Linked DNA regions of Lonchura striata. The protein of the gene in region 1 interacts with the protein of each later gene in a biochemical or structural test. Links are inferred from orthologs where the notes say so. Each region holds a gene or a part of one and is shown on either strand. Other genes may lie near its edges. The genes, in order: MYB and NLK.

Region 1 (3,901 bases):
TACGCGGGAGCCCTCGGGAGCAAGGCGCCGCGGCGGGGCGGTGCGGGGCTGCCGCGGGCTGCGCCCAGCGCACGGCCCCGGCCCGCCCCGCAGCCCGCTGCGCCCTCCGCCAGCGGCGCCGCGGGCTCGGGAGCGGCCCCGCCCCGGCCCGGCCCGCCCCGTCGGCTGCTCATTGATGAGCCGCGGGCCTTTGAGGAAAGGGCGAGTGTGCCGAAACCGCTGCAAAGCCATGATTTTTCAAGCAGCAGCGCAGCCTGGGAACTTTGCATGTTTCACCATTTTTCACGTCCTGACTCATTTCTGTATCAAAAAATGTGTTCTCTGGAGCTCATCGGACACCCACCGCCCCTCCCGCCGCCGCGGCGGCAGGCAGCATCCACGCCGGGCGGCAGCAAGGGGAACTATAGCAGAAATCCCCTGCGGGCAGGCAACCGCAGTCCAGCCCCGGGCCCCTCCGAGTTCCCTTATTGCCAGCGGGGGTTGCTTGCCCCCGAGGGCTGCAGCCGCTGCAGCCCGCACCACGCAGGGAGCGGAGCAGGTGCACCCGCCGAGGCCCACCCTCCCCCCGTCGGCGGGAGGCACCTGCGTGGGCCGGGGGTCGGTCGCGGGGTCTCGCCCGAGAGTTCTCGCCCCACGCCGAGCCTCACCTTCCCCACCCGCCGTGCACGGCGGAGAGGGGCTGCCCCCCGCCCCGACAGCTCCATCGGCGACAGCCGCAGGGCACGGGGGGGCCGCGGCCGCGCCGTCGAGGGCCCGCGGCGCGGGAGCGGCGGCGGCGCTGGCGCGGGTGGCTCCCGCCGCTGCCGCGCGGGATGGGCGGGGCGGGAGGGCCCCGCGGGGCGCGCGGCGCCGGTGCGCCCGCCCCGCGCCCCGCCACAGCGGCACGGGCCCGCCAGGCGCCTGCGCACTGCAGGGGCGCCAGATTTGGCGGGAGGGGGAGTGTCCAAGGGCCCTTTGTTTGATGGCATCTCTGTTTACAGAGTTTACTCTTTAATCTCAACCTGTTTCCTCCTCCTCCTCCCGCGGCTCCTCGGCACTCCCGTGCGCGGCGGCGGAGCGCCCAGGCGCAGCCCGGCAGCAGGGCGCGGCGGCGGGCGCGGGCTCGGTCTCCCCCGTCCTCCTCCCCCAGCGGCCGGTGCGAGGATGTCCCGGAGACCCCGGCACAGGTAACCCGCTGTCTGCGGGCGGCGGACGGCCGGCTGCGCTCCGCGCCTGTCAGACGGGGCGCGGGACGGGAGAGAGAGAAAGCGGCAGCAGGCAACCGGCTCGCCCGGCGGACGGGCGGGCAGTCCCCCGTTCTCCGTGCACCTGGTCTACTCCGCCCCCGGAGCCGAGGCGCTCCCCTCCTCCGGAGGCGCCGGGAGAGCTGCAGCCCGGCGGGACGCGCCGCGGAGCCCCGGTGCCGGGGCGCTCGGGCCCCGCGCTGCACGCCTGCCGGGGGCCAGTGCTCGCCGCCCGCAGGAGCCAGCGCGGAGCCCGACGGAGCTGCGCGCTCCGCAGCCGCGAGGCGGGACAATGTCTGGCGGGCTCGGCGGCGGCAGGTAGCGCGTCCTTGTCCCATTCATTCATTCATTCCCGGCCGGCTGAGGCGACAGGTGGGCAGCGGGTGCGGGGACTGGGTTCGCTCCCTCGACTTTTTGTTTCCTTTATTCGTGCGGCCCTTTCGCCCTTGGAAGCGCGACTCTGGCCTGAGTGGCTTAGCTTTTCCCAGGTACACGCCACTTGGCACACGCAGGAGCGCGGCAGCGCGGGCGGGGGGCTGCGAGTCCGACGGAGCTCTCGGCCGCAGCTGTCACCCGTGGCCGCCAGCGTGCCGCGCACCCGGGCCAAGGCGATCCCTGCCACGCCGTGCAGGGGCCGGGGGCGGCGGTGTCCCGGGGGCGGCGGTGCCCCTGGGGCAGTGGTGCCCCGGAGACGGTGGACTGGACCGGACAGGGCGATAGCGCCGCGTGGCCGCGTCCGTGGCCCCGCTGCCGCGCGGGCGCACAGAGCGGAGTTGTTGTCTAATTAGCCAGGGACGGCGGGTCGGACACGTGGAGGCTTTTTTCTCTTTGCAGCCTGGCATCCTCCCCTCCTCCCCTCCCCTTTGGCTGGCTGTGACAGGGGAAGAGGTCGCAGCCCTGCCTGTCGCTTCCCGGGCGCCGGTCCTGTCCGGTGGGACTGGGGGCTTGGTGGGTTCTTTCTAAGGAAGAGGGGTTTGCGGTGCGGAAGGAGGCGGCGAGCCGCTGGGCGAGCGCCGGGCTGTACTTTCAGTGTCAGAGCGGGGCTGTCGCTTGAGCTGGCGGTGAATCACCCGGCCCGTTTCTCCCGAAAGAGAGGGACAGCTACCGCTGTCTCGTGGGCGCCTCCCGCAGGGACACGTCCGCCGCTCGGGACTGGGAGGCCGGGGCGGCACGGCGCGGTGTCCGCCTGATCCGGCGGGCGCGGCGCCGGCGGGCGCGGGCTCTGCCCCGCGGGGCTGGTGCCCGAATTCCTTCAATCACGGTAACAGCAGCGAGTCATTTCCTCTACACCTCCTTTTTTTTTTTTTTTTTTTTTTTTTTAACCTCTCCCTTTTTTTTTTTTTTTTGCTTTTTTCCCCGTGTATCGTTGCACAAGCCGGTTGCCTCGGCGAACAGCGCGGCGCTGATGGGGGGCCGGGGGACTCCCGCTGTCCCGGCCGGGCGGAGCGCCGTGCCGTGCCGTTCCGAGCCGCTTGGGGGGAGGCTTCAGGGCTGCAGCCGGAGGTGCAAAATAAAGTTTTAGAGCACCGCTGAAGGCCAAGTTGACTGAAAAAACAGCCGAGAGTCCCGGAATCCCCGGACACTTTTCTCCTGCTGGAGAGCGCAGGCAGTACAGTGGAGTTTGCTCAGTTCTGCGGTGCCAGCGAGGCCCCAGTCGTTTAAATAACCCTGTTACAGAACTGGCCCCACACTGAAGTCCTTAAACGTGTTGGCCGCTGATGCTGTGCTGCTGCTGCTGCAGAGCGGGGTTTCCCTGCGGCGCCCGGCCCGCACCGCCGCGCAGGAAGCGCCGCGGATGGATGCGGTCCTGCCGGTTGCCTTCTACGGAAAACTCATTTTCAAACTGCTACTTGGAAACTGTGCCACAAAAACTTCCTTTGCCATATGGGCAGCGGCGCAGCTGTCTGTGTGTGTCACTGAGAAAAGTGAATCTGCTTTGAGCGGCGGCTGGGGACCGGAGCCGCGCTGGTGGCAGCTGGAGCGTGGGAGCTTTTGCTCAAGCACGGGAGGCTCCAGCTGCCAACGAGGGGTGCGTGTGAAGTGGGAGCTTCCATCGGGGCTTACTCCCAGAGGTTCCGGGGTCTGGGAAATAGGGAGCGAATCGTGGGGCTGCAGGACTGCGGCGCGATGGGCACGAGTTGAGGGTAGTGGCGATGGGCTGGTTGGGTGAGTCAGGGGCACCCGGCAGAGGCTGCAGGATGACCACACACATCACAGCAGGCTGTGGAAAACTTTTTACATGTAGCATGTAAGCATGTTCTTTCATTACACAGGCCAGAAAACTGTGTGGAAGATGTAGGGTGTGATTAGTCCAGTACTTTAAAGAATTATGTTCAGTAGCTTGCCTTTTGGAGGTGTTCACATCTTGACAGTCATGGTGCTTCACTGCAACTTAATTGAAAGTCATCTCCTGAAAACAGGTTAACAGCATAAACAGTGCCTGTTAACTTTATTACAAAATAACTTTATTTTAATGTCTTAGTCATACTTTTAACTACCATACCATACCATACCATACCATACCATACCATACCATACCATACCATACCATCAGATATATCACAGTTTTTAATCTTAATGACACTGACTCCTTTCTAACACTCATGGCTAGCATCTTTTAGCTGAAGTATCAGAACTGCTGCTCATACCTTAAAAGTTAGAGGTAAAATACTGTCCAC
Region 2 (3,901 bases), on another chromosome or scaffold:
GTTTCAGGAGTCACAACAGGCTGTCACATTTATACGCTCTCTTCCTCCCCCTGCAGAGGAGCCTAATGCTGTCCAGTCTTCAGAAACAAACAGAAAGGACAGATGACAGGACTGCACCTTCAGGGATCTTCTGGTAACACCTCAGCACTGCAGCTGTCCTGTCACAGCTCTGCTGAGCTCTTTTCCTGCCCAGACAGGAGCCAGGGGCAGCGAAGGAGAGGCTCAGCTCCCTCCCAGCACAGCGAACACATCCCCTGTCAGTCACGGACTGCCTCCGAAATGCTCAGTTCAGTTACCTGAAAGAACCTCTTCATCACCCTCACGGTAATTTAACTCTACCACCATGGGAAAGGCTCCAGTAACCTGGGAGAGTTTTTCTGAAGTAAAACTATTAATCAGATATGATTAATATTCGCATGAGAAAATGGAAGGTGTTAAAACTTTTTTTTACCCACCCCTGTGTTTCAGGGAACACTGATGCCTTACCCAAAGACACTGCAGTCCCCAGGCATGCAGATTCATAGCGTGAGGGAGCTAAAACAACAACCAAAGGATATTTCGGTCCTGGTTAACACGTACCTGGCAGTGTCCCCTGAGCGTGTTCTGAGCACGCTGAAAGGAGCCTCGCAGAGACTGCCTCGGGCAATGGGCCACGCTGCTGGGAGCACTACACCCTCTCATTAGCGGTTTATTTCTCTTTCCTGCCAAGGGGAGCCCACGCACGGCGGGACATGGTGCCACAGCCCAGGGGCCCCGCTGCCAGCCCCGCAGTCGCCGCTCTCCGGTCCTCAGAGACTCGAAAAACAGGCCCCAAAACCCCACAGATCCCCTGCCCTTGGCGGGCAGCCCCCGTCGGCCCGCCGTGCTGCGGGACCGGCCCCGGCGGCAGGGAGCGGGCGATTCCCGAGGGCACCGTGACCCGGGCGGGAGCAGGGTGGGCACAGAGGGAGCTGCGGGGGCAGCGGAACCGGGCGGTGTGAGGGCACAAGGGCACCGGGACCCGGCGCGGCCGCTCAGCCCGCCCTCAGCGCGGCTCGCGCTCCGCCGCCCCCTCAGCGCCCACGGCGACCCCGCGCGCGCCGCGTCCTCACCTCACCCCGCCCCGGGCCGCGATTGGCCCCGCCCGCCGTCCGTCAGCAGATCCCCTCCGCCCATTGGGCGCCTGCCGCCCGTGGGCGGGCGCAGCGGCCGCTTCCTCATCCGTGATTTGCGGAGCGGCGGCTCCTCCGCCGCCCACCGGCTCCGCCACTGGCGAGGAGAGCTGTCGGTCGCGCCGCCGCCCGCCTCCCCGTGCCATTGGCCCAGTAACCTCTTTTCGGGCTTTCGTTTCTCTGCATTGGCTCATTGGACTGGACGGGCGGCTGCGATTGGGCGAAGAGCGGCTCCCGGGGGCGGCACTGAGCTCAGGAGCAGCGTCCATTGGCCGGCGGCCCGCCGTGAGTGGCAGGAGGGTGAAGGAGGCGGGCCCGCCCGGGGTGAGGGTTGTGTGAGGTGAGGGAATCTCGCGGGGTCTCGGCGGCTCCGGGCGCGGCGGCGCGCGCTGATTGGCCGGCGGGGTCACGGGGGCGGGGCCGCGCCGTGGAGAGGATGGGGGGGGGAGCTCCGCACGGCCGCGCGCGGTGGGCGGGGCGCGCCGGGCGCCGCGCGGCGATTGGTCGGGGGCGGCTCTCGCGCAGCCCGGCGGGCCGGGCGCGATTGGCTGCGGGCGGTGTCGGGCGCGCGCCCCGCAGGGGGGGGGGAGCGCGTGCCCGCGGCGCGGCGCGGGGCGGCGGGACCAGGTGAGAGCGGGGCCGGGGCCGCGGCCGGGGCCGCGCGGGGCGGGCACCCGGGGCCGCCCCCACACCCTCCCGCCGCCCGCACCGCGGGCCCCCTGCCCTCCACCCCCGGCCCGACGCCCCCCGGCCCGCCCGGCCCCGCCCCGCCGCGGGTCGCGCTGTCAGGGGCCGCTGCGACCTGCCCCGCGCCCCCTCCCCGGTCCCGCTCCGCCCCGTCATTCATTCGCCACTTTTCCCCCTCCTTCGCCCCCCCCTCCCCCCCGCGATCCCTGTCCTGCCCCGGCCCTTCCCTTCCTCCTTCTGTTTTTATCTTCTTTTAGCCCCCTTGCCCCCCTTTCCTCGCCCTGCGCCGCCCTCCCTTCACTTTCTCTGGGTCCTTGTGTGTGTTTCAGGCCTTCAAGGAAAAGTTGCAAACTCCCGAGTTGTTGCTGCTGTGAGGGAGCAGGTGCCTGGAAGGAGGGAGCAGGTGTCTGGAAGGAGGGAGCGATGTAGGAGGTGCCCGGGCGCAGGGAGGTTCGGGGGACACATGGAGAGGGTGTGGGAATGGCAGGGCTAGGCTGGCCAGCCCTCGCGGGGTGTTCAGGGCACAGGCTCCGAGCCCTCCCTCCGGAGGGAAGGGGGATTGATCACGGTGTTTAATTTTTATAACAAGAAAAACAACAAAAATAACCAAAAGTGAAGGAAAAAACCCACCCCGGCCCCACCCAGCTGCCCAAGGATGGAGTTGGAGTAGCCAAGCCCAGCTGGATGCTGGGGAAGGGGTTGGCGCCCGCACACATGAAGAGACTCCCCGAGTTGTTTGGCTTCGCGAGGAGATAAGGCCAGTGGAGCTCCATGTTTTTAAAGGTGGGCCGTGTATGATGAAACCCAACTTCTTTTAAAGTGTAGCAGATTTAATTTTTATGGCCAAATGACAGCTTGACCCAGTTGTTATCCAATCAAAGGGCATTTTTTTGAATGTCTCTTTGTGGCACAACAGCCAACGCAAAAATGATGGCGGCTTACAATGGCGGTACGTCTGCGGCAGCAGCAGGTCACCACCACCACCATCACCACCACCTTCCTCACCTCCCTCCTCCTCACCTCCATCACCACCACCATGCTCAGCACCACCTGCACGCCGGCTCGGCGGCCGCGGTGCACCCCGTGCAGCAGCATGCCTCCTCGGCCGCCGCGGCCGCCGCAGCCGCAGCCGCCGCCGCCGCGATGTTGAACCCAGGGCAGCAGCAGCCGTACTTCCCATCCCCGGCCCCGGGCCAGGCCCCCGGACCGGCTGCAGCAGCCCCAGCTCAGGTACAGGCTGCAGCAGCTGCTGCAGTCAAAGCGCACCATCATCAGCACTCACAACATCCACAGCAGCAACTGGACATTGAGCCGGACAGACCCATCGGATACGGAGCCTTTGGTGTTGTCTGGTGAGTAGAGACAAAAGTGAACCGATACCTCCTTGTCATTCTTTACCTGATCATAACTCATCCTTGTTTTTGTCATTGGAATCAGAATACAAGAGAGCTGCTTACTAAGAGTTTTTTTGCTGGTTCTTCTCCGTTCTTAGAAAGTTGCTTCGCTCGTTTGCGTTGGCAGAACAAGGTTCCCAGTGGTGAGGAGCCACCTCTGACTAACAGGCCACCCTGCCGTTCTGAGACAATACAGCTTATTTATGCCCTTTCTGTACCTTTAATTAGAGTGTGCATCCGTGCAGCTAAGCCGTGCTTCCTAAAATTTCAGGTTAACAAATGAGCACTGGAATATTCATTTTGACCTGGCTTAAGAGTCGGAAATGAAAAGCGTATGAAAATGTCTTCCTTGTGCAGTCACCTGTCAAGATCTTTGTCTCACGGCGGTTTGACCCGCGGTAGTGCTGTGTACTACCTCAAACAGCACAGCTGAACTCTGCTCCCCTCTCAAAAATGGAAATGGGATTTCCTGCCTCGCTGTAGCTCTGCCTCCGGCCCTTTTATCCCCCAGCCGCGTTTCAGAGGAGTCTGTCAGCGGAGTAGAATCTCTCCTAATGCATTTTATGACTACCTTAGAGCCATGTATGTAGTTAGTGCCCTTCAGGAGCACTGACACAAAGCTGGCAGCAGTATATGTGCATTTGTATATAAATGTTTGTTGGCGTGCCC

Evidence for each region.
Region 2: of the proteins of MYB (region 1) and NLK, one has a biochemical effect on the other in vitro, tested with the Homo sapiens proteins (2 studies listed by BioGRID, with this or other methods). The link is inferred for Lonchura striata from reciprocal best matches to the Homo sapiens genes MYB and NLK.

What each region holds. Positions count from the first base shown.
Region 1 is NC_134605.1:58,243,314-58,247,214, reverse strand, and holds the start of MYB (transcriptional activator Myb), read left to right. Parts: upstream 1-1,143; coding exon 1,144-1,166; intron 1,167-3,901. UniProt on the Homo sapiens protein: Transcriptional activator; DNA-binding protein that specifically recognize the sequence 5'-YAAC[GT]G-3'. Plays an important role in the control of proliferation and differentiation of hematopoietic progenitor cells.
Region 2 is NC_134622.1:11,205,952-11,209,852, forward strand, and holds the start of NLK (serine/threonine-protein kinase NLK), read left to right. Parts: upstream 1-1,349; 5' UTR 1,350-1,491; intron 1,492-1,722; exon of another isoform or gene 1,723-1,778; intron 1,779-2,167; 5' UTR 2,168-2,732; coding exon 2,733-3,190; intron 3,191-3,901. UniProt on the Homo sapiens protein: Serine/threonine-protein kinase that regulates a number of transcription factors with key roles in cell fate determination. Positive effector of the non-canonical Wnt signaling pathway, acting downstream of WNT5A, MAP3K7/TAK1 and HIPK2.